2 linked regions of the Anolis sagrei genome follow. The protein of the gene in region 1 purifies or fractionates together with the protein of each later gene. This does not show direct contact. Links are inferred from orthologs where the notes say so. Each region holds a gene or a part of one and is shown in the gene's direction. Other genes may lie near its edges. The genes, in order: CLUAP1 and IFT46.

Region 1 (16,062 bases):
TCATCCACTTTGCATTCTGTGGCATATCCCAGGCGTGCTCTCCAGGAGAAATGACATGCCTGTTCCTCTTTTTGTACCTTCTTTGTGCATTGGGTTGTAAAATAGGGAACAATCGGATATTGAGATTAGGATATTCAACAATTTGCACCTTTGACTGTGAGGCAGGAATGAGCATTTCAGTGCCACTGGCAGTGCTTTGTGTTTCAACCACATTATTATCCAAAGTCTTTGCAAATCCTATCTCCTAGTGGTATACATAACATGTTGAGGATCACATGCAGACGTGTCTTTCATGGATTGGTTTTGATCTGTTTCTTTGTGCCTTTTGCACAAACTCCATTCATCCAGAGAACAACTCCATTCCAAGTTACCTTCCCGACTCATCTCCCCGCATTGCCTTCTTTCATTGAAAAAAAAAAAACCCAGCCCTTTAATGTAATGCCAGAAATGAATACTGACGCTGCAGGAAAGAACAGAGAATATTTCAAAGGAGCAATCGTTCAAAAGTGTGGGGGGAGGGGGGGGGGGACAGAAGCCGAATTATTAATGCAAATGGATAGGATCCAGTGAGTTCTGGGAGAAGAAATGCACAAAAAAATATGAGTCAGTGCATGACGTAAAACCGCAATAACACTATGTAACAAAATTTAAAAAATGTTCTGTTTCTGTTGGAAAGTGTAATGTCCTGTTTAATTGTGTGGTCCTTACTTTGAAAGTAGTTGCTATTCTCCAGAAACCTAATTTTTATGCCACAAACCTGGTTGATTTGGTTGCGACTCTATAATGAGATCTTCACTGAAAAACTAGAACAAAAAATGCTACGGGATGTCCCTTGCACAAAAGCAAAGTTTGTGCAGTTTAATCAACTTTCCCCATGTTTTATGATATAACCAACTAGGAAATCACATTTATAACCCAGGAACAAAAATTGTGTTACAAGTGTAATTGGGCAACAGAAAGGCAAGCTGGATAAAACCATGGAGGTCTATGCCAAAATTTCTAAATTTTAAATTTTGGGAATGTAGCTCACCTGGAATAGGAAAGATTAGTGTCTGTCTGCTTTCCTACAAAGTATAGTTCACCTTTTTCTTGACATCAGGGAGGAGCAACAATAGAGAATAATAAAGGAAGGGTTGACTTTTGGATTTGTACGCCACATATTAGGACTGGACACAACCAGAAAAGCCACCTTGAGTCCCCACAGGGAGAAAGGTGTGGTATAAATTACTATTATTATTACTGATGTTGTTATTATTTATTCAGGAAGGCCATAAAATGACCCCATATTCACTACCCCTTATGGTTCCCAAGGCTAGCGAGAGGGTTAGGTTGCTGTCAAGTCAAGTTCACTTTATTATGGTTCAGTGACCAGTTCAAGAAAAGCGTTCAAGGATATCAGAGTTAAGGGTTAAGAGATTTCAAACTTTAAAATAAGCATACCATTGTTAGGACATTAAGAAAATCAACTTAAGAATCTGAGCGAAAAGCCATATATAGGAGTTGTGCAACTGCCTTGGCTTCAAATGGTGTGAGTATCGCTGTCCTGACCTGAGATATTTTAGTACAGAAGACGAGCTCTTTTGTGCAATCCACATAGATTGCTGTCAAAATTCAAGATTTACGTATGAGAGCTGATATTGCCATTTATGCTGCTTGCCCTTCGGAGAGAAGGCAGGCAAGATTTGCAGAACTCCTGCAAAGTCCAGAAACAGTAGACTGGTAATGATCCCATAGAGGAGGAGGTTATTCCAAGTCTCCTGCATAATTCAGAAAGCTTGAGAGTGTGAGAGACCCCAAGCAATACATTTTTCATCACAAGAAGTGTGATAACATTTCGGAAAGATAGTCGGGCCGAGCGGGCTGGATTTTGTCCTTTATGGGGCCATAGACCCCAATCTTACTCCTGCATCCATCTATCTATCCATTATTGAATTTTCAAGTGATGCTTAAAATATACATTCAAAAAAAAAAAAAAAAGGAGGAAGAGGGGAGCAAAAAGATAAAGAGGTGGGAAAGCATGTAGCATATGACTGAAGGTAAGCTATCATAAAACATACATACATATGTTCTTTAAGCTGTTATGAATCAAAATATTCATGTGTAGCTAAAATACTTAAATCTTTTAAATGATAGATTGTGTAATAATAATAGTAGTAGTAATAATAATAATAATAATTCTTTCCTGCCTGTCCTCATGGCTCGAGGGGGGTTATAGAATAATTAAAACACATACACATTATAAAAATTCCATAAATACACATATTAAAATGTATTTTACAAAAGATACATATGAAAATGTATTTCTATAAAATATATGTTAAAATACACAAAACAGTGAATAAACAAAGGACACAAGTTTAAAATTTGTGTTTAAAAACTGGCTGGGTATGAAAGACATTCTCTAGGTTTAAGAATATAAGCAGTTCGTGCATTTTCAAAATGCCCATGTATTTGTTGTTGTTGTTGTTGTCATTATTTTCTTTTTTTATATTCTGCCTCTCTCCCAAGGGGGCTCAATGTGGCTATTATTATCTGGGAACTTATCCCCGCCAAGTATAGCAGTTGTGCTGCATTTATAACCGTATCAAACAGTTGTAATTTAACTTTATTACAACTCTTTGATGCTGTTATAAATGTAGTACAAGAATTCATACGATTCTTAATTTGCAAGTAAAGCAAGAATCCAATTTAGTTTGTACTATGTTGTATCCCAAGTTGTTGTTGTTGTTGTTGTTGTGGAAGGCATATCCATATAGACTGCACACCAAGCATATCTTGCTCAACAGTAAGTACAATTGTTAAGTATAAAGCCAAATGTCAAACGAAATTAAAAACAAGAACGCAAAATTAATAATACGATTAAATGAGAGAGTTAGTTAGCAAGTATCATAGAAGTTAGGTTCTTGTGGGGTTTTTCGGGCTATAGAGCCATGTTCTAGAGGCATTTCTCCTGACGTTTCGCCTGCATCTATGGCAAGCATCATAGAAGTTATTGTTAGTAAATACTGTTAAGCAAATATCACAGATTTCAGTTATTTCAACCTATGTCTCTATAGAAGTGTATTTTAAAGTGCTTCAAAAATAATTGATAGTGGCTATGCAAAAAAAAAAAGTTTTCAATGTATTATAGATGAAGCTGGGCTATATTGGAAGAAAAGGCCAGCTAGAACTTTGATTGCAAACGAAGAGAAATTTACAGCCGGATTCAAACCTATGAAGGATAGCATCATCTTATTTATAATTCAGAGAATCCTGGGGCTCTTGGAAACTTTAAAGCCTATCCTTCCAATTTGTTGCAAAAGGAATGCAAAAGCTTTGATCCATAGCAGCTGAATGATTTATTTATTTATTTTTATCATCATCATCATCATGTACATAACAACACAGCACACATGCGCGCTAGGTCCAAGTGTGTGTTCTTTGTCTCTGAATACTGGGCTTTTCTTAAGCGCCTGGGATATTAGAGGTACTATTACATTATTATTATTATTATTATTATTATTATTATTATTATTAACATGTACATCATAACACAGCACACATGCACATTTGGTCCAAGTGTCTGGGATTTGCCTCTGAATACTGGGCTCTTCCCAAGGTCCTATGATATTAGAAACATTATTATAATGATGAGGAGATATTAGAAATATAGATATTTATTGATTTATGCATAAAATCATATGTACTTTATAAGCACTGAAATGCATAGAAAAATCTAGTTCCCTCTGTGTATAGAAAGAATGCTAACGGACAAGCAAACTGCTTGTCTTCAGAAGGGGCTGAAGAGGGAGGGGTGACATTCCAGAGAAGAGAGATAAGCCTGTCCGAGAAGCCCATACTAAGGAGCAACGGGCTGGTACTAAGGAGCACCTCTTGACAGGTCAGAGAGGGCCCCTTTGATGGATGAGTGTAAGATGCTTGCTCTGCAGCAAGACATGCCTTTTTGCATGTGGAAGTTAGAACCTGATATTCTTATGATGCTCAGATGACGTAGGGATGATGATGATTGTATGTTGTAGCATGTTCTTTGTTTGCTTGAACCTGGAAAACTATAAAAGCCACAGTCCACACCTATTTCAGTTGCTCTGGTGTTTTTTGGGAGTTGACTCCACACCAGGCCCCAGCTGGTAAATAAAATCCATGCTTTCAAACCTCCGGACCTCTCTTTGTCTCTTTTCCTCAAAACCTATTCCTTGCCATTTCAATAATATAATATATTATTATATATTATATTAATTATTATATATATTTATTATTGCATTGTATATTATTATATTATATATTATTAAATTTATATGTACATAGCAACACAGCACACAAGTGAAATTGAGCAATTTAAGACAACCGCAGATAGTAAGATCAGGGCCTTGGATAGCAAAACCTGAAGGGTGGATACCGAGATCCAATAAGCGAATGCTGGTATTGGCAGCAGGCCACCCGTGGATCTGTGTGCCTGGTGAGACATAGAAGCTACCCAGTGTTCCCAAATAAATCTCACCAAGTTGAAGAAGCCGCCACCGAGGTAATTTATTAAAATCAGATGAAGTGATGCCAGCTTGCGGTAATCCACCTAGGCTCTGTCGACGTCATGAACAGCTGAAGGAGGATTCCCTGCAGAGGCGGGTTTGTAGCCAATAGGATTTTGTTCCCTGCTTCATATATATATATATTGTCGTGTCAGGAGTGACTTGAGAAACTACAAGTCGCTTCTGGTGTGAGAGAACTGGCTGTCTGCAAGGACGTTGCCCAGGGGATGCCTGGATGTTTTGATCCTTTATCATCCTAGTGGGAGGCTTCTCTTGTGTCCCCACATGAGGAGTTGGAGCTGATAGAGGGAGCTCATCCGCACTCTCCCCAGATTTGAACCTATGACCTGTCGGTCTTCAGTCCTGCTGGCACAGGGGTTTAACCCACTGTGCCACCGGGGGCTCCATTTATTTAGATAATTTCTATCCCGTCCTTCTCATCTCCAAGGAGAGATTCAGGCTGCTAACAGGCACCCTTCGGTGCCAAACAATACACAACATAAAATACATTTAATCGCCAATAAAAACAGTTATAAATACATAAAAAACATGTTGCCATTTCATATCATCCTCCGAATAATCCACAGCCATTCGTTCAATAGTCAATTAAAATCATCTTCAGTCCATTGCCATCCGCAAAACCAGTCCATTAAAACCCTCTATCTAGGGAATGCTTGATCCCATAACCAGGTTTTTTAGCTTTTTCCGGAAGGCCATGAGGGAGGGGGCAGATCTAATCTCATTCGGGAGGGAGTTCCACAGCCAAGGAGCCACCACTGAGAAGGCCCTGTCTCTCGTTCCCACCAACCGTGATTGAGATGGTGGTGGGACTGAGAGCATGGTCTCTCCAGACGATCTTAAGGTCCTTGGGGGTTCGTAGAGAGAGATACATTTGGACAGGTAAGCTGGACCAGAGCCGTTTAGGGTTTTATAGGTCAAGGCCAGCACTGTGAATTGTGCTCAGAATCTAATAGGCAGCCAGTGGAGCTGGCTTAACAGGGGAGTTGTACATTCCCTGTACCCTGCTCCTGTGAGCAGCCTGCCTGCCGAGCATTGGACTAGCTTAAGCTTCCGAGTAGTCTTCAGATTCCCGCTCTCCAATGGCTGATGGGGGGCAGGGTTGTCTGGGAGACAAAGGAAGTGTGAAGAGGTCTTAATGGGACAAACAAAGGGGGTCATCAGGTCCCATGTGTTTTATTATAAAGATAATTGTGATATGAGTCCCCAGCGAATAAGTCCAGCACCTTTGGCCCTGCTGTCCATTGAGTCAAAAGCATAGATATTGTCCATGTTGACAGGATTAAGCAGTTTGTTCCTGGGAAAGGGGAAATGTTATTGTTATTGTATATGCTGGTCTTGGCCTATAAAACCCTATACGACTCCGGCCCAGCTTACTTGTCCGAACGTATCTCCTTCGACGTTCCACCTTGTAGTTCAAGATCAACCGGCGAAGCCCTGCTCTTGGTCCCACCAGCTTCACAAATGCGTCTGGTGGGGACGAGGGACAGGGCCTTCTCAGTAGTGACCCCCCACTTGTGGAATTCACTCCCCAGCAAAACCAGTTTGGCTTCTTCCCTCCTTTCCTTTAGGAAAAAACTGAAATCATGGTTTTGGAACCAGGCCTTTGTCCAGCAGGCATGATAGCACTTTGGACATCGAACTGGACTATATGACTGTGATAATAATGGAAATGACTATATGACTGTGATAATAATATTTAATTGTTTTTAATCTATTGTTCTATTTATTGTTTTATATTGCTGTAATTTGTTATATTTGCGGCATCAAATTGTTGCCAGTGTAAGCCGCTCTGAGTCCCCAGGGGTTGAGAAGAGCCGGGTAGAAATGTTGCAAATAAATAAATAAATAAATAAATAAATTGTTGGACAGTGGAGCATGACCTCCCTGTGTACAGATAGTCATGCCAGGTGATGGGTGGCATTGTACTGTCCCAGTGACTGAGGCAAAGGACGGGTGGCCCTGCAAATGCCAAGAAGCAGGAATATTGCATTCAAATCACCCCTGACAGATGGCCATCCAGCCTCTGTTTAAAAGCTTCCAAAGAAGGAGCCTCCACCACACTCCGGGGCAGAGAGTTCCACTGCTGAATGGCTCTCAGAGTCAGGAAGTTTTTCCTCATGTTCAGATGGAATCTCCTCTCTTGTAGTTTGAAGCCATTGTTCCGCGTTCTAGTCTCCAGGGAAGCAGAAAACAAGCTTGCTCCCTCCTCCCTGTGGCTTCCTCTCACATATTTATACATGGCTATCATATCCCCTCTCAGCCTTCTCTTCTTCAGGCTAAACATGCCCAGCTCCTTAAGCCGCTGCTCATAGGGCTTCTTCTCCAGACCCTTTATCATTTTAGTTGCTCTCCTCTGGACACATTCCAGCTTGTCAATATCTCTCTTGAATTGTGGTGCCCAGAATTGGACACAATATTCCAGGTGTGGTCTAACCAAAGCAGAATAGAGGGGTAGCATTACTTCCCTAGATCTAGACACTATGCTCCTATTGATGCGGGCCAAAATCCCATTGGCTTTTTTTGCCGCCACATCACATTGTTGGCTCATGTTTAACTTCCTGTCCACGAGGACTCCAAGATCTTTTTCACACGTACTGCTCTCGAGCCAGGCATTGTCCCCCATTCTGTATCTTTGCATTTCGTTTTTCCTGCCAAAATGGAGTATCTTGCATTTGTCACTGTTGAACTTCATTTTGTGAGTTTTGGCCCATCTCTAATCTGTCAAGATCCCTTTGAATCCTGCTCCTGTCCTCCGGAGTATTGGCTCTCCCTCCCAATTTGGTGTCGTCTGCAAACTTGATGATCCTGCCTTCTAGCCCTTCATCTAAGTCATTAATAAAGATGTTGAACAGGACCGGGCCCAGGATGGAACCCTGCTTATGGCACTCCGCTTGTCACTTCTTTCCAGGATGAAGAGGAAGCATTGGGGAGAATCACCCTCTGGGTTCGTCCATTTAACCAATTACAGATTACAATATACAGATAATATATTATTATCACTGTATTATATATCCATTATTATCATTATATTTAAATGTACATAACAACCCATTTTAAACACTGGCCTTTTTATCCCTTTTAACACCAGGCAGGCCTTTCCTTTCCAGTCTTGGGTTTGTCCAGCCTGTGTTAAAAATGTCCTTGCTTTCAGGCCCTGGCATTGCAAAGCACCGCTTTCCGCCGAAGTTTGAGCCCGGCGCCTCGCCGTTGCGACGTTGCCATAGCGACGCGGCCTAGTCCTGGAAAGCGACGCGGGGAAGCCTGGCCGAGGGAGAGAGAGAAACGAACAGACACAGAGACCCAGTTGGCGCCCTTACAGGGACCATGTCTTTCCGCGACCTCCGCAGTGAGTCCCATGGCATCATCATCATCGTTGTTATTATTATTATTGTTATTGTTATTATTGTTATTATTCCTCGCTGGAGGGTATAAAAAGGAAATCTAGAGGCCCCGAGGCCTGAGAATGGGGAAGGAGGCCCGCCCCGGATCTGCTTCACTGCCTGTTTTATCTAACTTGTCTCTTTCCCCGCATTTTCGAATCCTCTATCTAGATAGATAGATAGATAGATAGATTATCTTCTATATAAATAAAAATGTAATGTTCGTTTGTGGGATTAACAGAACTCAAAAACCACTGACACCAATTTTGGACACAAGACACCTAACAACACAATGTATGTCCTTCACTAAAAAAATTGATTTTGTCATTTGGGAGTTTTAGTTGCTGGGATTTATAGTTCACCTACAATCACAGAGCCTTCTGAACCCCACTAACGATGGAATTGAACCAAACTTGGCACACAATTCTCCCATGACCAACAGAAAATACTGGTGGGCAGTGTCCTTTGGTTTTGGAGTTGTAGTTCACCTACATCCAGAGAGCACTGTGGACTCAAACAATGATGGATCTGGAACAAACTACACAAATACTCAATATGTCCAAATGTGAACACTGGTGGAGTTTGGGGAAGATAGACATTGACATTTGGGAGTTGTAGTTCCTGGGATTTATAGTTCACCTACAATCACAGAGCATTCTGAACCCAACCAATGATAGAATTGGGCCAAACCTCCCACACAGAACCCCCATGTGGGCCACAGCAACGCGTGGCAGGGGACGGCTAGTATATATATATATATATAGAGAGAGAGAGAGAGAGAGAAATATATATATGTGTGTGTGTGTGTGTGTGTAATCTATCTATATAAATATCTATGTAGGTATAGGTAATCTATCGATATCTATGTAATCTGTCTATGTAATCTATCTATCTATATGTAATCTATATATAGTTTATCTATGTAATCTATCTATGTAATCGATCTTTGTAGGAGGTAGATTACATAGATAGATAGATGATAGAGGTAAATAGATAGATTACACATTTATTTATTTTGCATATTTGTATCCTGCCCTTCTTGCCCCTGGAGGGGGACGCAGGTTGGCTTCACAACCAATGCTAACAACAGTTATAAATGATAAAAGTAACTAAAACAATTAGTTAATGCTTTAAAATTACTAAAACATTGTTTAAATTACACAGGTTTGAAATCATAGTCCAGGTCAGTCCATTGTCATTCACACAAATTGGGCCTCATTCTAAATTGCTTCCTCTACTGTTTGAACGCTTGGTCCCATAACCAGGTTTTGAGTTTCATTTTAAACTACAAGAGGGAGGGGGGCAATCTAATGTCACTGGGTAGAGAATTCCACAGGTGAGGGGCCACCATTGAGATATACCACAGATAGATTACATATATATAAATAGTTAGATCTATGTAATCTATCTTTGTGTGGAGCCCCCAGTGGCACAATGGGTTAAATCCTTGTGTCGGCAGGACTGCTGACCGACAGGTTGGCAGTTCGAATCTGGGGAATGGGGTGAGCTCCCATCTCAGTTCCAGCTCCCCATGTTTAGACATGAGAGATGCCTCCCACAAGGATGATAAAGCATCAAAACATCCGAGAGTCCCCTAGGCAATGTCCTTGCCAACGGCCAATTCCCTCACACTAGAAGCAACTTGCAGTTTCTCAAGTTGCCCCTGACATGAAAAAAAAATCTATCATAGTAATCTGTCTCTATCCATCCATCCATCAATCTATCTATCTATCTATCTATCTATGTAATGTATCTATTTATCTATATCTATCTATGTCCATGGTTCTCAACCTGTGGGTCCCCAGATGTTTTGGCCTTCAACTCCCAGAAATCCTAACAGCTGGTAAACTGGCTGGGATTTTTGGGAGTTGTAGGTCAAAACACCTGGGGATCCACAGGTTGAGAACCACTGACTATGTAATCTATCTGTCTGTCTGTCTGTCTGTCTAATCTATATAACCATAGAATTGGAAGAGACTTTGTGGGCTATCTAGTCCAGTACATGGATGTATAGATATCTGTCTGTCTGTCCATCTGTCTTTGTCAATGGTTCCCAACCAGTGGTCCACAAGAACTAAAATATGATCCGCAAAACATTTAAAATTTTAAACCTTTATTCATTTTAATGAATTTGTTGCTAGGTGGGCAACGTCAGCGAGTAGGACATCAGGCCAGTCAGGAGTCTGGGGTGGAGGGCAAGTGATCGTTCAGTCAGTCGTACACATTCTTTTGTCTTGCTCGACTATGTCAGTGATTCTGTTTTGCTGTTTAGTGATTCAACGGCTCCAGTAGTTTTACTGACTGTGAACCCTCAATATTCATATTAATTTTTTACTTATTTAATGGTGACTGAAATGGAGAGGCTTAAGAAGAAATCAAGGAAGAGCTCATTGAATTTCAAAATGATAGAAACTGCAAGGACGTGTTTGAATCTGATTCTCTTGAGGAGTTTTGGTGCAAAAAAGTGATTTTTTTATTCTAAAATTCAAGGAATTGCCTTGCACTATCTTATGCTCTTCTCCACAACTTTATGCAAACAAGGGTTTTCTGCTTTGCTGGTAATTAAAAACAAGTCCAGGAATCGATTGAAAGTAAATAATGATGTGGTTGTAGTTTTGAGCAATAATATTAGCCCCAGGAGTACCCTATTTGTAAGGAAGGTGCAAGCTCAAAAATCACATTGATGCAAACTAAATTTAATTTTCTATTTAAAATGTTCTTTTTTAAAATATTGTAATAGTACTCTTATTTCATGTTACTATTAAGTTTAATGAATATGTTAAAAGTTTTGATTAAAATTTATTTTTAGATTACACAGTTTTATTTATTATTCTTGAACCCTTTGGTCCCTGCTAACAACAAAGTGGTCCCTGATAATAAAAAAAAAAGGTCGGGAACCACTGATCTATGTGATCTATCTATGTAATCCAGTGGTTCTCAACCTTTTTTTGACCAGGGACCACTTTGAACAGGGGACAACTCTCTACGATTAGTACCAAAAGGGTTATGTATCAGTTTTTGGTCAACTTTAGATTTGGTTTGGTTATTTGAGATGTTGAATCAGAAAATTGCAGCTCTAGTCCCTGATACAGAACATATGCCATTCAGTAGTCGCCTTTTTGTTGTTGTTGCTGTTTTGTGTCTAATTATGTTGTATTATTTTTGGGCTTGGCCTCATGTTAACCGCCCTGAGTCCCCTTTGGGGACATGGTGGTGGGTTATAAATAAAGATGATGATGATGATGATGATGATGATGATGATGATTATCATCATCATCTGCTTACCCACAGAAAACCATATTTAATAATCTAGCACTGATGTGGTAGTAGTAATCTTCATGGATAGTCAGCCTCTCCCCTCTTGATATTCCCCTTGCCTTGCCTAAGAGGGTTTCAGCAACAGCTCTTTTTGCTGTGTGGTTTCAAGGCAACGTTGTAGTAATGGTGAGGCTGCAGACCATATTTTCATTCTTGTGGACCACTTGTGATTCATGGACCACAGTTTGAGAACCACTGATGTAATCTATTTATCTATCGATCTATCTATCCTAATCTAATCTAATCTAATCTATTTCATCTATTCATCTATGTAATCTGCCTACCTATGTAATCTGTCTGTTTTATCTAATCTCTCTTTTCCCACAGTTTGAAATTCTATATTTGTCTATCTAATCTATCTATCCATCTTTTTCTGCATTTTGGAATTCAACATTTATTTAATCTATATAGCCTATCTATGTAATCTATCTATATTATATTATATTATACTATATTATATTATACTATATTATCTATGCAATCTATTTTATCTATCTGTCTATTCTATCTATCTATCTTATTTATCTTTCCATGTGCACAAATTTTCTTTCATTCACAAAATTATTACAAATATTGTGTATAAAATTACATTAAAGTTATGTATATGATGTGCATATGAAACATAAACATAGACCTGGTTTTCATCTCAAGATGTCTTATTGTGTGCTTGCAAGTATTTGAAAAAAATCCAAAAAATAAATTAAAATGGAATACCTCTGGTTCCAAGCCTTTCAAATAAGGGATACTAAATCTGTGTTGTACTTAACAAACATTGCATCCATCTTTAATAGCAATGTGGAACTCATTGCACTTTTATGTACATATTTCTCTTTTTCGTTTTCTCTTTTTGGCCTCCTTTTTCTTCTGTTTCTGCTGAAAAGTTTAAAGAAGTAATGAGGTGCTGATGCTTCTATAACCCTCTGATTAAATCCTAGTTAACTCACCTTACCAAGACTTGTGTGCGTGAGATTGAGTATGATTCCTGCATGAACTTAAATAATATCTTTGTTTCTAAAGATTTCACTGAGATGATGAGGGCGCTGGGTTATCCCCGGCTTATCTCAATGGAGAATTTTCGCACGCCAAACTTCATGCTGGTTTCAGAGATACTTCTTTGGCTGGTGAAAAGGTTGGTAATTAACTTTCAATTGAATATCAGAGGAAATGTGACAGTGATTTCTGTTAAATACCTCCGTCTGTGAAAAAGTGCTTTTCTTCAATATGAACTTTAGATTTGTAGTCTCTTAAAAGACCTCCAGGATCAAAATGTAATTCTAATAGGTTCAAATTTTAAAATGATCACGAAGTCTCAGCATACTGAGATTTTATAACTTTTAGCTCTTCGCAAGATTTTAAATCAAACATATTCTTCAGATTAAAATTGCTTTCTAATATGGCCTTATATTTAAAATTAGACATCAGAGTAATTTTATGGCAGTACTCTGTAACACATTTCTTTTGAAAATGATGATAAACTACTTATCTGGTAAAGAGGAATTAATTTGTTATTAGTATGAAGAATTAAAGCGCACATTTTTCAATTTTGCTTTGAAAGTCAGACTTTTTATTATATGAAAGGCAAGCATAGGTTACTGGGATTTGGTTTCCACCAGAAAGTATCGTAAAACATAGTGATTTTTTTTCTCCATCCAAGTAGTTTACTTTTTTGAGCAGTTAGTTGTGTTAGAATTTCTCAGGACTGAATCTAATCTAGGTAAATATAAAATAGATAAACCTTCATCCTGGTGTGCTTCAATAATAAAGACTGGTGACAACATATGTAAGCTTGACCCAAGTTTTGCCTTCCATAATAACCTGAAATGGCTTGCCTTGTTGTGTGTGCTGCCAAGTCCAGTCATATTCATATAAGCTGGGTTGCATTGAATTGAACTTTGTGAACTGATCTTTCAAGATGAAAGATGCTGCTAGAATGCCCACATTTTAATAAAAAATAATAGCATCTTATGACAAGCTTTAAAAACTTTAAAGGCATCAGATCCCATTTCCAGTTTGATTGTTTACTTCCTGGCCATATTTATAGAAGCTTACAGCCATTGGTTGATGAATGTTGTTTTTAATTGGGTATTAGTTGATGTTTTAAATGTCCATATGTTGTATTTAATTGTATTTTTAAAATTGTTTTCATTTTATGTTCTGTTTTTAGGCACCTTGTGCCACGTGTAAGCCAACTCAAGTCCCTCCCGGGAGATGGTGGCAGGATACAATAATAAAATTGTTGTTGTTGTTGTTGTTGTTGTTGTTGTTATTTATTATCTTGGAAGTTAAGCAGGGTCAGTTGTACGTGCTACTTGGATGGGAGACTGCCAAGTTTTTGTGAGTTTGCTAGAAGGGGATCCCTTTAATGTTTTTTCTTGCCAATCTGTGTTGCAAATCTTACTGTTCCTTGTTGTGGATTGGTCCGTGTTGGGTTTTATGTTTTTAATGAGCCCTAATTCTACTCCAAGGCACTTTGAAGAGAAACAGTACCAGTGGCGGAAATGCAGTAAAAATGCAACACTGCCATAAAAATAAGCATTTATTCAACTCTGCAGATATTTCCTTTTTCAGATATGAGCCTCAGTCTGATATACCTTCAGATGTTGAGACGGAGCAAGACCGGGTTTTTTTCATTAAGGCAGTTGCTCAATTTATGGTGAGTCATTTTATTTTAGAATTTAGCATGAAATACTGTGCTTGATATATTTGCCATAGCTTATATACCTTTTTAAAATACCAAATGTATATGTGACTTAGGTTCTCTGAAGGACATTATCTCCGTATAAGAGCTGCCCATGTTTTCAGATCTTCTGTCCCAGCACCCTCACATGGGCATCTCATGGTTTCTTCCAGGCTCTGGAAGTCCTTTCCTAGAGACCTTAGACAGGCACTGTAATTGTGCAGGCAAGTAAAAGAGCTTTTTTTCTTTCAGCAGCAATTTGAAGGTGGGAAAGGTCTATTCAGAATTTGTATAACACTTTCATTTTATTATTTAATTATATTTTTAACTGTTGCATTATATATATATATTTCTAGCTATATACGCTTAAACTCTTGTAAGTCACTTAAAAGTCCGAGAACAAGTACAAGTTCTCATATGAGTAAGTATAACAACAACAAACAACAGAATACATAGAGATGAAAAATGAGCAAATGATTACAAATCTAATATCATGAGACTGGGGCTAAAGATGGATGCCAAATTTTCAAATTGCATTTGCTCTTAGGCTTATATAATTCAGTCATGAAAAACATAGAATTTTTAATGGACTTTTAAATAGCGACTTATTCCCCTGGGGTGAAGGTTATAGTTGTTGCCAGTCGTTTTGTTATCTTGCTAGATAGTACATAGAGGAGAAAGAAGTTGGGCACATCAGTCCTTGAATGGTACTCCCCCTCCCATATACAGTTGGCAGAATCAGAAGGCGTGAAGAAGGAAATATGCCCAATTCATTGCATTGGCAGATCAGTATTTTATCCTCACTGGAGATACAGTACTGTGCTATAAAGTATATTTTCTCTGAACTAAATCTTATACTGTTTCTGTTCTCTCTATTAGCTTTATTTGATTGTCATTGTGTAGGGTACATTCAGCTGAAGTTTTATGTACAAGAGTGAGTAACTGGATAAGATTAAGATGATTCTTTAATTAATATGTTGGACTTGTCTTGAAGCAATAGAAAAGCTATTAACCTTGTTTGCAGAGGCATTTGTGATAGCAACTGCAGAACTGCTAGGAACTTTGATTGTGTGTAGGCTAGACTTCTGCTATTTTAGGAAGTACAGGAAGTACATTATCTTCTGTTGTATTCACTTCACCTCCGTTCCCTTAACAATCATTGATTTTTTGCTTCATATTTTAAATGGCTCTCAAATACTTTCTTCTTAACAATACCTTTAAAATGGTTTGCATCAGCCTCCTGGTGAGGCTGACATTTTTGGTTTTCTTCCAAGGCAGAAAATAGCTGTTCTTTTCGAAACGTTGTCCTCACTGTTTCCCTGTTATCAAGAGAAATGGAAGGAAACACATTCAATGTGATATTTTCATAACATTTTGTTGTCTTATTTTGTTTGCCTCAGCAGGACATTGCAACCAATGGCATTAAACATTAAGTCGGTTTGGTGTCTAGTCATCTCTCCTTTTTCCTTCAAGCTCTTCCATTTGCTATCGCTTGTTTTGTAAATTCTAAACACCCAGAGCTGATAATTTGTTATGCAACAGACTCAATGGAAATGATATTCTAATAAAGCAACACTGCATTTCTTTGGGGATTTGATGAACCTTTCACTCCTCAATGTATTGTCGAAGGCTTTCATGGCCGGAATCCATGGGTTGTTGTAGGTTTTTCCGGGCTATATGGCCATGTTCTGGAGGCAATTTTTCTCTTGACGTTTCGCCTGCATCTATGGCAAGCATCCTCAGAGGTAATGAGACCTCATTACCTCTGAGGATGCTTGCCATAGATGCAGGCGAAATGTCAGGAGAAAAATTGCCTCCAGAACATGGCCATATAGCCCGGAAAAATCTACAACAACCCATTTTCACTTCTCCTTTTTGAAAACTGCATTTTAATAGCTGGAAGAAGTTTATTTATTTATTGTTTCAAACATTTGTACCCCACCCTTCTCACCCCTGAGGGGGAACTCAGGGCGGCTTCACAACAAGCAGTATTAAGTGCCCTCTACATTCATAGAAAATACATTTAAAACAATTTATTAAAACAATTACAATTGAATGAAGATTTTACAGTCCTTCCCAAGAGGAATCCATTTTCACTTTAGCAGGATCTTGGTGTGACTGTGATGCAGACTTGGCATAA
Region 2 (16,351 bases), on another chromosome or scaffold:
TGCTAAAAAAAACCCTGAATGACTGTGTTGCAAAATGATGCCAGCCTAAAATGTGTGTCACCAACATGAAATGTTTGGAAGGCTCCAGCCTGGAGTGATGGCTCGCTTCCATTTGGCCCTCTAGGCAAAAGCAGAGCCCTGGATCTTCCTCCCAAAGTGGGCAACCAATCCCTAAACGGATCCTCCGGCCACAGGCCAGTTTTAGCATCGAGTGAGAGCAAAGAGAAAGGCACCCTGCCCTCTTGACCCTAGAAAGAGAGGCTGGACTTTCCTGGGAGTGGAGCAGAGCTAGGAGGGCTCAGCCCTTGGAGGACGGACAACAGGCCAAAGCCTTGGGGATCCACCTACCTGGAGCTGCACCCCCTTCTTGTCCTCGTTGTCAACATGGATGCGAATCCGGGCAAACTTTTCATCCAGGATCCGCAGCATGATCATGCCGTGCAGCTCCATGTTCTGGAGGCCCCCGTCTCGGCCGCAGGTCAGGGAGATTTTCTCTTCTATTTTCATGTGCACGCTGAAGAGGGGAGCAGCAGGGTCACAGCAGCCCCATCAGTTTGGCCGCTGGACAGCAAGAAGGTGCCCCAGGCCTTCCTCCCATAAGCCACCCCAAAGGCCCTCCTTGTTTGGCCGCCCAGGGCTCCGCGCTCCTCACCTCTCCATGTTAACAGGCGGAGCAAGGACCGCGGCTGCGTCCGAGGAGCGTTTCCCGATCGAAGAGGCAATGATGTTCTCTCCTTCCGATTTCAGCTTGTCCACGAAATTGTCCACTTCCTTCCCTTTGGCACCAAGCTTGAGTGCCTTGTTAGAGCCAGAAGGCCTATGGAGCAGGACAATAGAGAGATCCTTTGCTGCCCAGCAAGGAGCCAAAAAGAGGCCCTTCTGTAACCCTCTCCTTCTCCCTACGCCGTATGGTGGGGGTCCCACCAAGCAAGAGTAACCCCACCAGCAAAGGATGCAGACCTGGCATCTTCCTTGGAAGCTTCTAAACAGAGTTGGATGGCCATCTGTCAGGGGGAGTTTGTGCTTTTCCTGCAAGGCAGGGGGTTGGGCTACATGGCCCACGTGGTCTCTTCCAACTCTATTATTCTATGACTTAGTTATTTATTATTATTTTACTGACACAAAAGCACAGTATGTCACAGTATGTCACATGCTGGATTTCGTATCACAAAATCACAAGTCGAACACTTCCCAAGCGTCTCAGACTGTGTGATGTATACATTATTATTATTATTATTATTATTATTATTATTATTATTATTATTATTATTTATAGAAAGGCACCATTTACTATGCCATTGTGTGCAATAGGATTATTATTATTATTATTATTATTATTATTATATTTTATATAAAGCACACCATTTACTATGTCATTCTGTGCAATGGGACTATTATTATTATTGACACAAAAGCACAGTATGTCACACCAAACGAGATCTATATGCTGGATTTCGTATCACAAAATCACAAGTTGAACACTTCCCAAGCGTCTCAGACTGTGTGATGTATACATTATTATTGTTGTTGTTGTTATTATTATTATTATATTTTATAGAAAGGCACCATTTACTATGTCATTGTGTGCAATAGGATTATTATTATTATTATTATTATTATTATTATTATTATATTTTATATAAAGCACACCATTTACTATGTCATTGTGTGCAATGGGACTATTATTATTATTGACACAAAAGCACAGTATGTCACACCAAACGAGATCTATATGCTGGATTTCGTATCACAAAATCACAAGTTGAACACTTCCCAAGCATCTCGGACTGTGTGATGTATACATTATTATTATTATTATTATTATTATTATTATTATTATTTATAGAAAGGCATCATTTACTATGCCATTGTGTGCAATAGGATTATTATTATTATTATTGTTATTATTATTATTATTGTTATATTTTATATAAAGCACACCATTTACTATGTCATTGTGTGCAATGGGATTATTATTATTGACACAAAAGCACAGTATGTCACAGCAAACGAGATCTATATGCTGGATTTCGTATCACAAAATCACAAGTTGAACACTTCCCAAGCATCTGGGACTGTGTGATGTATATTATTATTATTATTTACTTTATTTGTATACCATCCCTCTCAGCCTTGCGGAGACTCGAGGCGGTTTACAAGGCAAAATTCAATGCCACAGAATCCAAATACAATTTAAAACATTAACATCAATAAAATCATAGCAACAGCAGTAAAAACATAAATCGGTAAATCCTCAATAAAAACATTGTCCAATTTCATCGTAGAGTTGTTCCGTTTTCCTATGTCCATTACTCAATGTTTGCAAATGCTTGCTTGACCAGCCATGTCTCGAGTTTTTTTCGAAATGTTAGGAGCGAAGAAGCCGATCTAATCTCTTTGGGGAGGGCGTTCCATAGGCAAGGGGCCACCGCTGAGAAGGCCCTGTCTCTCGTCCCCGCCAAACATACTTGTGACGGAGGCAGGACCGAGAGCAGGGCCTCCCCAGATGATCTTAACGTCCTTGATGGTTTGTAAGGGGAGATACGTTCGGACAGGTAAGTTGGGCCAGAACTGTTTAGGGCTTTATAGGCCAAAGCCAGCACTTTGAATTGGGCTCGGTAGCAAACCGGTAGCCAGTGGAGCTGGCGCAACAGAGAAGTTGTGTGCTCCCTTAGAGCCACTCCTGTTAGCAACCTGTTGTTAATTTAAGCTTCGGGACTATCTTCAAAGGCAACCCCACCTAGACGCCCTGTTCAGCTCCCTCCAAAACCACTTTGCTTGTAGTAGGAATCTGGCACTTTCATACCTGGATGGGATCGGAGTCACTTTGGGCTTCTCGGTCTCAATGATGGTCTCTGTGATCATGGCGGCCGTGGTCCCTCCTGAGACGGCAGAGCTGCCAAACCCCCCGAATCCTGGTGCTTTGGTGCCTCGGCGCTCAGCGTCCCGGCGCGCCTGCTGCAGCTCCTTGGCTTTCCGCCGCATTTCGGCCTTGGCTTCACGCTCCTGTGTCTGAACATCAGAAAGAGACACTTAGTTGATTCCCAACATGCCCAGAACAAAGCAGTTCACCCATGCCAAACTTGATGTCAGGAAAGAAAATCAAAGGGGAGACACAGCGGAGGAAGCCTTGGGCTTACCTCCCGGACGGCTCTGAAGACCTTCTCCTCGTGGGAGTCCATCTCGGTAAAAGTGCGGATCTGGGCCAGGTTGACGTTCTCTCGGTAGCCGAGGGCCACGATCTCATCAAAGGCAAATATTAGGTCAAAGCAATGCTCCGAGATCTCGTTCTCTTCTAGCGCTCGGCAGTATTCTGGGATCTGAGTGGAAGCAGAGAAAAATCAAAACCCAGCTCTTTGAGCAAGCTTTTGCAAATGCAGCGTAATCGGTGATATGGAACTACAGAACGACTGGAAACTGAGTTTAGGAAGGAGACACTGATGATGTATCTTTTTTATTGGTTTTTGTATAGTTTTATATTATAAGCTAAATGCTTTTAAACTGTATTTTATGTTTAGTGGGGCATCAAATTGCTGCCAACTGTAAGCCACCTTGCGTAGCCTTCGGGCTGAGAAAGGCGGGATATATTTATTTTTATTATTTATTTACAACATTTGTATACCGCTTTTCGAACCCCGAAGGGGACTCAAAGCGGTTTCCACATAGGTAATGGCAAAATTCAATGCCAGCACAAACAATTACAATTATACAATTACAGTTAGACATAAATCAAATTAAAATACATCCATAAACAGTAGAATAATCATTAAAACAGTAAAACAGTCTCATCCGTCGAATTGCCATTCCAGTCATTGTCTTTCCGAAATGTTGCATAGATTTGTTTCTACTGCCCAAAGGCCTGGTCCCAAATCCATGTTTTAAAATACTGTAAATAAAATAAATAATACTATATAAAGAGACAGAGCATTCCTCCTTTTTAGGAACCTGTGTTCTAGAGAAACAATATTTATTTATTTATTTATGGCATTTCTATGTCGCCCTTCTCACCCCGAAGGGGACTCAGAGTGGCTTACAATATATAGTTTCATACAATATATTATTAGCATAGTACAATATCAGTATTATATATTACTATATTGCACTATACCATTATATTGCAATATTATTAGTAATATTACATGTATTATATTACTCGAGTAATATAATACATACATATAAATATATATGTATATATATTACTCGAGTATAAGCCAAAGGTGGGAAATGCAGATGCTACTGTTAAATTTCAAAATAAAAATAGATGCCAATAAAATTATATTAATTTAGGCATCAGTAGGTTAAACGTTTTTGAATATTTACATAAAACTGTAATTCAAGATAAGACTGTCCAACTCTGATTAAACCATTATTGTAACCTTCTTCAATGTAAATACGCTTACATATCCTTCCAATAATAATAAATAGAGTAAAATAATAACAATAATAATAATAATAGTGTAGAGTAGTAAATGTAATAACAGTAAAGTAAAATAATAAATGTAACAATAACAATAATAGAGTAAAATAATAAATGTAAAAATAACAACAATAATAAAATAATAAATGTAATAATAACAACAAAGTAAAATCATAAATAACCTTGACTCGAGTATAAGCCAGGGGAGATCTTTTCAGCATAAAAAAAGACTGAAAACCTAGGCTTATACTTGAGTATATACAGTAAGCAGCCACCATTTTCCTTTCCCTTCTATATCTCTCACTACAGCAATCAACATCATGTATGAATCCACAACAGAGTTTCCTCCCCATTAAACACAGGTGGAATGGCTGCCTTCTCCGCATCGCTTCCCTGCCAAGTCCCATAAACCCAGCAGATGCCAGCAAGGACTTCCTCTGGAGCAGAACGGTTTCAAGACCAGCCCCAGGGACATTGCTTCCTCCCTGCCATGTGAATGAGCCTGGGCCCGCCCCTCACGTCCCCACAACTCTCACCACTCGGGAGAAGAGCCGCAGCGTCTCCAGGTCCTCCAAGATGTTGCTGTTCTTGGTGGTGATGAGCACCATGTAGAGCTTCTCCATGGGCTGGTAGACGTAGCGCACACTCTCCGTCTCCACGAAGGTGTGCTGCTTCCCGGTGTTCATGAGTTTGGGGAAGGCCGCCAGCAGCCCCTCGATGCGCGTCCGGGTCATCTCCACAAACTGGCGTGAGACGATGGCCTTCCCGGCCTTGGTGCAGACGGCGGCGGCCAAGAGCACCTGCGGGAGGGAAGAGGAAGGAGAGGCTCCCATCACAGAATCATGGCATAATAATGAGAGTTGGAAGGGATCTCAAAGAGGGTCCTCCTTCTGCCAGGAAGGAAAAGCACAATCAAAGCATCCCCAACAGATGACCACCCTCTGCTTAAAAGCCTCCAAAGAAAGAAGAAACTTCCACCAGACTCCAAGGCGGAGAGTTCCACTATTGAATTTATTATTTATTTATGACATTTATATGTAGCCCTTCTCAGAGTAGCTTATAAGTAGTATGTAAATACAATATATTATATTGGGTTGTTGTAGTTTTTTCGGGTTATATGGCCATGGTCTAGAGGCATTCTCTCCTGACGTTTCGCTTGCATCTATGGCAAGCATCCTCAGAGGTAGTGAGGTCACCTCACTATCTCTGAGGATGCTTGCCATAGATGCAGGCGAAACGTCAGGAGAGAATGCCTCTAGACCATGGCCATATAGCCCGAAAAAACTACAACAACACAGTGATTCCAGCCATGAAAGCCTTTGACAATACATTAATATATTATATTCTTACCATAGCACAATATTAGTAGTATATATTACTATATCATACTATATGATTACACTGTAATATTATTAATAATATTACATGTAATATAAAATATTATTATATAATATATAAACTATATAATAATGAGCCCCCGGTGGTGCAGTGTGTTAAAGCACTGAGCTTGTTGACCGAAAGGTTGCACGTTCAATTCCAGGGAGCTGAGTGAACTTCCGCTGTCAGCCCTAGCTTCTGCCAACCTAGCAGTTCGAAAACATGCAAATGTGAGTAGATCAATGGGTACTGCTCCGGCGGGAAGGTAAGGGCGCTCCATGCAGTCATGCCGGCCCCATGACCTTGGAGGTGTCTATGGACAACACCGGCTCTTCGGCTTAGAAATAGAAATGAGCACCACACCCCAGAGTCAGACATGACTGGACTTAATGTCAGGGGGCAACCTTTACCTACTATATGATTATGCTGTAATATTATTAGTAATATTACATGTGATATAAAATATATAATTATACTATTGTATTATTATTAGTAGTATTATATTGTTTCACATTACAATATTATCAAACAGCTCTTCTTCTTAGTCAGGAAGTTCAGGTGAAATCTCCTTTCCTATCCTTTGAACCCATGGCTCCATTAAGTCCTAGTTTTTATTGGCAGCAGAAAACAAGACCTGCTTCATCTTTTTTATGGCCTCCTTTCCAATATTTATACGTGGCTAAGTCCCACCCTACTCCTTTCACAGAGGCCCCTCCCAAACAGCTGAATAAAACCCCACATTTTCTGCTTTGAACTGGAATGTATGGCAGTGTGGACTCATGGAACCCAGTTCAAAGCAGATATTGTGGGATTTTCTGCCTTGATATTTTGAGTGGAAGGCCCCAGAGTCACACGGTGTCTTTCAAAATACAGTTTCTGCCCAGAGGGGCCATGCAAGCAGGAACCAGTGGGAAATCGCCACCACTTACTCAACTAACATTACTCACAAAAGGACAAACACACAACACATGTAAACAGATCGTTTTGTTTAAAACCTAAGGGCGACACAAAAATCTATCCTCCTTTCTTCCAAATAAAAAACTATTGGCTGTTGAAAGCATCTAAATATCAATCAGGAAATTTGGTGGCAACAAGTATTAAGGATTTCAACATTAGAACAAAATTACGTTAGGATTTTAAATGGCTGCAGTTCTATATCTGTGTGTATTTATGTACATATGTATGCGGTGTATGTGTGTGTGTGTGTGTATATATATATATATATAAAATTTCATGCAAAAAATGTTAGCACTTAATAAAGTATAGTATATACAGAGAAACATGAAACTTGCATTCACACTATAATGGATATACCTGTTTCTTTCTATAAAGATGAATATACTCCTCTTTGGAAGAGGCTGTAATGTTCACAGATGAATAATGTTCTTTCTTGTTAAGGATTTAAACAGAGGCTGGATGGCCATCTGTCAGGGGTGATTTGAATGCAATATTCCTGCTTCTTGACTGGATGGCCCATGAGGTCTCAGGTTTATGTGAAGAGGAGTACATTCATCTGCTAAAAGAGCTAGATAGTGGAATTTCCTTTACAAGAAGAACAGAAGATGACCTCGTGGGCCATCCAGTCCTACCCCCTTCTGCCAAGAAGCAGGAAAATCACATTCAAAGGACACCTTGCAGATGGTCATCCAGCCTCTGTTTAAAATAACCCAGAATATCAAGGTAAATAATCCGCAGTATCTGCTTTGAACTAGATTATCTGAATCCACACTGCCATGTAATCCAGTTCAATGTGGATGTTATACAGCTGTGTGGAAGGGGCCAATATCTGTGACTTAGAACACAAATACAATAACATTACACAAGAGAAAAAAACATAAGATAAAAATATATTTAAAACACTGGATTAAATACAATAAAAACATTATTATTCATCATATAGCCAAGTCCAAATCTGATTTAGCAACTGACGACTCAGTCCAAAGCCTGTCATTGTCAGAGTTCAAGCACTGTAAATACTGCCAAACCAACTGTCCAAAGGCCTGGTCCCAAAACCATGTTTTGAGCTTCTTTCTAAAAGAGATAAACCAGTTCAAAGAAGAAGCCTTGATAATCTGGGTTATATGGCTGTGTGGAAGGGTTCAGAGTCCACATGGCCATAGGCGCTTCCGCACAGCTCTATATCACAAAATACCAAAGCAGAAAATCCCACATTATCTGACCGTGGACTCAGATAATTATTATTATTATTATTAAACTTTATTTGTACCCCGCTAGCATCTCCCAAAGGACTCGATGCGGCTTATAAAGGCCAAGGCCTCAATACACAACATAACAGTACACTTAAAGCAAATTAAAACAATTAAAGCAGTATTAAAACTACCGTGGTCAGTCATCATACTAAAATCGAATATACGCCGTCTTCCATCCAGATCATTGTCTCATTCTTTGAAAGCCTGTCCCCATAACCACGACTTCACCTGTTTCCTGAATGTCAGGATTGTTGGGGCGGTTCTAACCTCTGGCGGGAGAGAGTTCCAGAGTCGTGGGGCCACTACCGAGAAGGCCCTGTCCCTCGTCCCCACCAGCTGCGCTTGTGAGGCTGGCGGGACCGAGAGCAGGGCCCCTCCAGACGATCTTAGTAATCTTGATGGATACCAGGCAGGAAATCACACAATATCTGCTTTGGCCTGGGTTGTATGGCAGTGTGGACTCAGGGCCTTTCCACACAGCCATATAATGTGGGATTTCCTGCCTAATATCCTGGCTTATATGGCTGTGTGGAAGGGCCCCGAGTCCACACTGCCATATAACCCAGGCCAAAGCAGATATACCAGGATATCAGGGAGGAAATCCCACAGCCAATAGTGTTCTGTTAGAAATGTAATATAATTGACTGGTTGCCCCTGACACAACAAATAAATGCTTTGGCCTGGGTTATATGGCAGTGTGGACTCAGGGCCCTTCCACACAGCCATATAAACCAGGATGTCAGGCAGGAAATCCCACAATACCTCCTTTGGCCTGGGTTGTATGGCAGTGTGGACTCAGGGCCCTTCCGCACAGACATATAAACCAGGATACCAGGCTGAAATCCCACAATATCTGCTTTGGCCTGGGTTATATGGCAGTATGGACACAGGACCCTTCCACACAGCCATATAAACCAGGATATCAGGCAGGAAATCCCACAATATCTGCTCTGGCCTGGGTTATATGGCAGTGTGGACTCAGGGCCCTTCCACAAAGCAGTTCAATGTGGATTTTATAGAGCTGTATGGAAGGGGCCTCAGGGTTAAAGCCAGACCTTTGAATTTAGCCTGGAAGTTCCCATTTTGGGGAGCATGGGAGCTGTAATCCAAACACTGGTGCAGAATGGAACCCCAACTTCCCAATGACAGTTACTCAAGAGCTGCAGAGAAGCAACGCTCACTGGAATGGAGAAAATAGCAGCAACACAACTGTCTCCAAAAGCCTACAACTCCCAGAAGCCTCCTCCGCCTTGCCCAAGGGTCAGGGATTCTGGGAAATGGAGTCCAAAGCCTTGGAAGGCCCATTTCCTCACAGTGACTCCCCTAAAAGGCTTGAACGCCGGCCTAGGCCGAAGAGAAGCCTGGGGAAGAGTTAGGCGAGGCTCCCGGAGGCCTTGGCAGGCCGCCCCGGCTCACCATGGCGTCGGCGTCTCCCTCGTCGCCTTCCCTTCGAGCAACCGCTTCGTCCTCCTCACACAGAAGATGGCGGCCCCGAGCCACGTCGACCCAGGCGGAAGTGGCGTCACCGCGCAGTTAGACAGCGGAGGCCACGCCCCTTCCTCTTAGCGTCACTTCCTTGGCAACGGAGCCACTTCCGGGGAGACTTTTTTTTGTGTTTTGAAGGCAGGCGTCAAAAGCCCCGCCCCTTCCGCTCAGCACAGCTCTGGTGTCACTTCCTTGGCAACGGAGCCACTTCCGGGGAAGTTGTTTTTGAAGGCAGGCGTTGCTATGGCGGCGTCTGGGCCTAGTCAAGCTTCAGGGCCGGAGCCTGGGTTGCAGACGCGGTTGGTGGAGAACCAGCCTTACGATGAGAGCCTGGAAGTGCACGAGGCGGAGGATGTGGCCAGTATCTACGCTCCCAGCCCACCGCAGCCAGGTCTCACCGCAGTCAGGCTTGGGTCTACCCTCCAAGGGGTTTGGACTCCAACTCCCACCATTCCTAACAGCCTCAGGCCCTTTCCTTTTCACCCCCAGCCGCTTAAGAAGGGGCCTGAGGCTGTTAGGAATGGTGGGAGTTGGAGTCCAAACCCCTTGGAGGCTGGGGGAGAAAGGCCTGAGGCTGTCTCTCATTTATCATCAATTTCTGGGTTTGAGGCTGCCACTTTTGGACTCTCGCTTGCTGAGGTGTTCCGGCGAGTGTCTCTGTAGATCTTAGAAAACTATTTCTAGATTTGGACGCTTAAGCGGCTGGGGGTGAAAAGGAAGGGGCCTGAGGCTGTTAGGAATGGTGGGAGTTGGAGTCCAAACCCCTTGGAGGCTGGGGGAGAAAGGCCTGAGGCTGTCTCTCATTTATCATCAATTTCTGGGTTTGAGGCTGCCACTTTTGGACTCTCGCTTGCTGAGGTGTTCCGGCGAGTGTCTCTGTAGATCTTAGAAAACTATTTCTAGATTTAAGTCATTGACGTGCTGGCTGATACCCAAACAAGGGATGAGCTGGAGATATCTCTGCCTTGGTCCTTTCACTATTGGCTGCTACTTCCCGGTGGATGTCAGGTGGTGCAATACTGGCTAAGCAGTGTAATTTCTCCAGTAGTGTTGGGCTGGGTTTGAGCCTGCCACTTTTGGACTCTCGCTTGCTGGGGTGCTCCGGCGAGTGTCTATGTAGATCTTAGAAAACGATTTCTAGATTTAAGTCGTTGACGTGCTGGCTGATACCCAAACAAGGGATGAGCTGGAGATATCTCTGCCTTGGTCCTTTCACTATTGGCTGCTACTTCCCGGTGGATGTCAGGTGGTGCAATACCGGCTAAGCCTGCATCACAAGCACAGCTGGCGGGGACGAGGGACAGGGCCTTCTCTGTGGTGGCCTCTCGGCTGTGGAACGCCCTTCCCATGGACATTAGATCAGCCCCTTCGTTAATGGTGTTTCGAAGGAAACTAAAAACCTGGCTGTTTGAACAGGCGTTCGGATAAACAGTGCAATGTACACGATGAATATAGGAAACAGAATTATGGATGACGAATTGGATCACGATTTTAGTTACGAGACGTTAATGTGTTGTTATTAATGTGTCATTATTCTGTATATTATGCTGTTAATGGTTTTTAAATTTTGTATGTTGTTGGATTGACTTTTGCTCTTGTTGTGAACCGCGTTGAGTCGCCTACGGGCTGAGAAACTGCGGTATACAAGCAAAGTAAATAAATAAATAAATAAGCAGTGTGATTTCTCCAGTGGTGTAGGGCGCAGGCACCCTGTGATAATGCGGCATGTCTCATTCAGAGCCACATCTACTGTTTAAGCGTGGTGAGATGTGTTCCACACTGGGCGTGCGTACTCAGCAGCAGAGTAGCACAGCGCAAGGGCAGATGTCTTCACTGTGTCTGGTTGTGATCCCCAGGTTGTGCCAGTCAGCTTTCCAAGGAAGCAGAAAACAAGCTTGCTCCCTCCACATGTATAAATATGTGAGACGAAGCCACAGGGAGGAGGAGGGAGCAAGCTTTCCTTTCTGCTTCCTTGGAGACTAGGACGCGGAACAATGGCTTCAAACTACAAGAGAGGAGATTCCATCTGAACATGTGGAAGAACTTCCTGACTGTGAGAGCCGTTCAGCAGTGGAACTCTCTGCTCCGGAGTGTGGTGGAGGCTCCTTCTTTGGAAGCTTTTAAACAGAGGCTGGATGGCCATCTGTCAGGGGTGATTTGAATGCAATATTCCTGCTTCTTGGCAGGTGGTTGGACTGGATGGCCCAGGAGGTCTCTTCCAACTCTTTGATTCTTTGATTGTATGATATTGTTTCTAGCGCCCACTTTTTGCTTGATGTTCAGGCCGTGCTTCTTGTAGGTCAGAGCACGGTCCAGAGTGACTCCCAGGTATTTGGGTGCGCTGCAATGCTCCCATGAGATTCCTTCCTTCCCAGGTAGTCATCCTCAGAGCTCGGGATGCTTGTCTGTTCTTAAGGTGAAAGGCACATGTCTGTGTTTTAGATGGATTAGGGATCAGCTGGTTTTCCCTGTAATAGGCAGTAAGAGCACCTAGAGCTTCGGAGAGCTTCTGTTCTACCATTTCAAAGCTCCCTGCTTGAGTGGTGATGGCACGATCATCAGCATAGATGAAGCTCTCTGTCCCTTCTGGCAGTGGCTGGTCATTTGTGTAGATGTTGAACATGGATGGACCAAGCACGCTCCCCTGAAGCGGGCAGCTCTTCTGTTTCCGCCATCTGCTTCTCTGGCCCTGGAACTCAACAAAAAAGTTCCTGTTTTGTAGCAGGTTTCCTATGAGGCGGGTGAGGTGGTCATCCTTTGTGATACTAGACATTTTTCTCAGGAGGAGGCGGTGGTTGACAGTATCATAAGCCACTGACAGATCTATGAAGAGGGACATAAGAGAAGCCTCCTCGCAGGATTGCAAGACATCTGGGTGTCCCCTGGGCAACCTCTTCAGAGACGGCTGATTCTCTCACTCCAGAAGTGACCAGAAGCTATTTGCAGTATGCAAACTGAGGCTGTTAGGAATGGTGGGAGTTGGAGTCCAAAACATTTGGAGGCTAGTGGAGAAAAGGAAATGGCCTGAGGCTTTTAGGAATGGTGGGAGTTGGAGTCCAAAACATCTGGAGGCTGGGGGAGAAAAGGAAAAGGCCTGAGGCTGTTAGGAATAGTGGGAGTCAGAGTCCAAAACACCTGGAGGGGTGGCCTGAGTTGGCCCAGGTTGGTCCTAAAGGTTTCAAGGCCTTCCCCTTCCTCAGCCTCACTTGGGGCCCTTTCTGTTTCTAGGCCCACGCCCTGCTCGCCCCCCACACAAGGGCCTGGCCCCGGACAGCAGCGACGACGACGATGAGGAGGAGGTCCACAACGTGGCAGGCAAGGTCCGTCCTGGATGGCCATCTGTGTTGCAGCTTGGTCATCTCCTGGGTGCTCAAAGATGAGGGAAGGGGATGCTGGGGTAGGTTCAGACGGTGGGAAAGTTCCTCGCAGTGGCAGCAAGACTGAGAAAGAGCCTAGACTCTGACCAGGATACTACCTGACACTGTGTAGTATGTAACTGGATGGTCAATTTGTAATAATTTGATTCGGATGGCCCAGAGGAGGATAGAAGTGGCAGTTCCCACGAGGCTGGAGAAAGCAATACCAGTTCTCATGAGACCCTGCAAGAAGTGTAGGCTGAGAGAAATGTGGGAGATGAAGGTTTGTCTACATCAAGGAGCTTGGAATTTCAGAGACAGGGCATGCAACAAAGACACACTCACTTTCCCCAGAGAATTAGAGATAAGGAGGGGGAGAGCAGGTGCATGATAAATGATGTCATGGGAGGGATGGAGACCTTTTAAAGTTGTTCCTGCCGGTACAATCCTTTGTGAGAGCAAGGTTTTAATCAGGTGAACAGCTCTTGTTTACATTTTTGGTCCTATTTATTTATTTACAGTATTTGTATACCGTTTTTCTCACCCTGAAGGGGACTCCTATGTTCCTGGAATTCATGTTTGTTCTTGCTCCTAGTTCCTGTGTGGCATGGGTTGCCTGCTTTGGATTCATGTTATCTTGTTTATGGATTTCTCTGTGGATTGACTCTGTAAACTCTATTTGAGGGAATTTTGGGGACCTTCCACACAACCCTATAACCTAGAATATCAAGACAGAAAATCCCACAATATCTGCTTTGAACTGAGTTATCTGAGTCCACAGTGCCATATATTCAATTCAAAGCAGATATTGTGGGATTTTCTGCCCAGAGAGTCTTGGCTATCTTGGAAATAACCTTTTTGACTTTGATTCTCTATTTTGAATTTTATTCTCTTATTTTTTTTATATATATACTCTTTTTTAATAAACTGCTACTTGTTGGATTACCTGGGCAGAGTGTGGTTTGTGGTGAAAACGTGTTTCAAGGCTTGTAATTCAACAATCTGTTGGGAAGGTTTCACCCCAGAGCCTCCCTCCTCTTCTTCCCTCTTTATTCCTCCCCGCAGGAGAAGAAGGGCCCCCAGCGCCGCTTCAGCGGGAACGAGGTGGAGGACGAAGATGAGGACGACTCCGAGACTGACTCCGAGGATGAGGATGACGAAGACGAGGAGCACGGGGCGCCTCTGGAGGGGTACCATCCGCACGAAGGGCCCCCCCAAGGACAGCCAATCTAACTCCCTTATCTCTGCCAAGCAGGACGACATCCCAGAGTAACAAGACACCCCTAAGGCCACCCAGTCCAACCCCCTTCTCTCTACCAGGAAGGAAGGCACAATACAAGTCCTGACAGTTGGCCATCCAGCCTGTTGCAGAATCGTAAAGTTGGAAGGGCCCACAAAGGCCATCCTTGGCAAGCATCCTGACAGACAGCCATCAGGCCCTCTATCTCAGGATGTGATCCCAAGTTTTTGGTTTATCCCAGATTATCTTACAGTGCATACTCTATAATCTAATTTAAAGCCCTATATCCCAGGATCTGTCTGGAAATGTTTTTTTTCTGTGAAGAGAGCAATAGATTTGTGCAGGAGGTGGCTTTTGCTTGGCTCTTCTTCATCCCCCCCCCCCCCCCCCCCAATATCCAGGGGCTTCATGGCCCTTGTATCATGGCTACCTCTTTCCTCAGGGCTTACAACTCCGCAGACTACGACTACCTACCTGTCTCCCTGGAGGTCAAGGAGCTTTTCCAGTACATTCGGAGGTGAGCAGGAGCACAGGCAGGGGAGGATTGTGCTTGTTAGGGTCCCCTCCTTACTGGGCCCCCTCCTCACTGGGCCCTCTCCCTCCCCAGGTATTCCGCACAGATGATTGACCTGGAGCACAAGCTAAAGCCATTCATTCCTGACTTCATCCCTGCTGTCGGAGACATCGATGCCTTCTTAAAAGTACAGTGTCCCTTTCATTACTTCTGTCGGGGACATTGACACATACAGTGACCTTCAACCTGGGGCTTCCTTTCACCAAATCTTCTCACACCAGGACTTCTCACACTGAAGACCTTTCTAACACAGAGGCCTTTCTCACACTGAGGGCTCTCTCAGACAGACACCTCTCTCACACTGAGGCAAACTAACACTGAGGCCTTCTCATACTAAGGCCTTTCTAACACAGAGGCCTACCTCACACTGAGGCCTTTCTCCCACTGATGCCTTCTCACACTGAGGGCTGTCTAACACAGACCACTCTCTCACACTGAGGCAAACTTAACACTGAGGCCTTCTCATACTGAGGCCTTTCTCCCACTGATGCCTTCTCACACTGAGGGCTCTCTAAGACAGACACCTCTCTCACACTGAGGGCTGTCTAACACAGAACACTCTCTCACACTGAGGCCTTTCTAACACAGAGGCCTACCTCACACTGAGGCCTTTCTCCCACTGATGCCTTCTCACACTGAGGGCTCCCTAAGACAGACACCTCTCTCACACTGAGGCAAACTAACACCGAGGCCTTCTCACACTGAGGCCTACTAACACATTGAGGTCCATCTTCCACACAGATCTCTCACAGACTGAGGTCTCTCTTAAACTGAGGCCTATCATACTGAGGCCTCTCTCAGACTAAGGTTTGCTGACACTGAGGGCTACTAAGCTACAGGCACACCTGCTTACATTGAAGTGCAGCTTTGGCGGAGTGATTGCCTCCATTTAACCCTTTCAGTGCTTGACTCACATTTTTGTAATTAAGAACACCTAGTTACTTTTTAATATTTCTGCCTTGGGCTGCTGCTTTCAGGTCCCCCGCCCGGACGGGAAGCCAGACAACCTGGGCCTGCTGGTGCTGGATGAGCCCTCCACGAAGCAGTCCGACCCCACGGTGCTCTCCCTCTGGCTGACGGAGAACTCCAAGCAGCACAACGTGGCTGTAAGCCGGGCAAAGAGGGAGGGAGGGAGGGAGGGATGGAGGGGGCTGTTTGGGGGTGGCCCCACACAGCAGGGGAAGCAGGCAGGCAGGCTTCGGATTGCATCACAGCAGATATAGGGACCAGTGCCTGTTTCTAGCAGCAGGTCAAAGTGAAGAGCCTTGAGAACGCGGAGAAGAACCCCAAGGCCATCGACAACTGGATTGAGAGCATCAGTGAGCTCCACCGCTGCAAGCCCCCTGCCACTGTCCACTACACCAGGTGGGCAAGGGGGGGACGGATGAGGGGTGCAGCCCCCCACCTGGACCTGGAGCTTGGGACTCAGTCGCCGTGCTTCTTTCTCCCTTCCAGGCCCATGCCGGACATTGAGACGCTGATGCAGGAGTGGCCCCCTGAGTTTGAAGAGTTGCTGGGAAAGGTACGGCCACACATCCTTCCAGCTGACCCTGACTCCTCGGGAGGTGCATTTGCACATAACTTAAGCCATATATGTGCTGGTCTGAGTCCCTTTGCGGAGGTAGAGAAGATTGGGATATAAAAGCTTTAAATAAATAAATAATAATTAATAACCTCAAGGCCTGCGGGCCG

What was found.
Region 2: the proteins of CLUAP1 (region 1) and IFT46 purify together in Homo sapiens (affinity purification with mass spectrometry; 3 studies listed by BioGRID and IntAct, with this or other methods). This does not show direct contact. The link is inferred for Anolis sagrei from reciprocal best matches to the Homo sapiens genes CLUAP1 and IFT46.

What each region holds. Positions count from the first base shown.
Region 1 is NC_090034.1:26,668,114-26,684,175, reverse strand, and holds the start of CLUAP1 (clusterin-associated protein 1), read left to right. Parts: upstream 1-7,749; 5' UTR 7,750-7,871; coding exon 7,872-7,893; intron 7,894-12,262; coding exon 12,263-12,374; intron 12,375-13,813; coding exon 13,814-13,898; intron 13,899-16,062. UniProt on the Homo sapiens protein: Required for cilia biogenesis. Appears to function within the multiple intraflagellar transport complex B (IFT-B). Key regulator of hedgehog signaling.
Region 2 is NC_090027.1:43,555,159-43,571,509, reverse strand, and holds the start of IFT46 (intraflagellar transport protein 46 homolog), read left to right. Parts: upstream 1-9,673; 5' UTR 9,674-9,732; coding exon 9,733-9,880; intron 9,881-12,717; coding exon 12,718-12,809; intron 12,810-13,910; coding exon 13,911-14,035; intron 14,036-14,527; coding exon 14,528-14,602; intron 14,603-14,692; coding exon 14,693-14,786; intron 14,787-15,636; coding exon 15,637-15,765; intron 15,766-15,905; coding exon 15,906-16,024; intron 16,025-16,114; coding exon 16,115-16,181; intron 16,182-16,351. Other genes in the region: ARCN1 (coatomer subunit delta), read right to left, coding at 349-514, 653-817, 2,807-3,012, 3,141-3,320, 4,954-5,217, 9,421-9,423. UniProt on the Homo sapiens protein: Forms part of a complex involved in intraflagellar transport (IFT), the bi-directional movement of particles required for the assembly, maintenance and functioning of primary cilia. May play a role in chondrocyte maturation and skeletogenesis.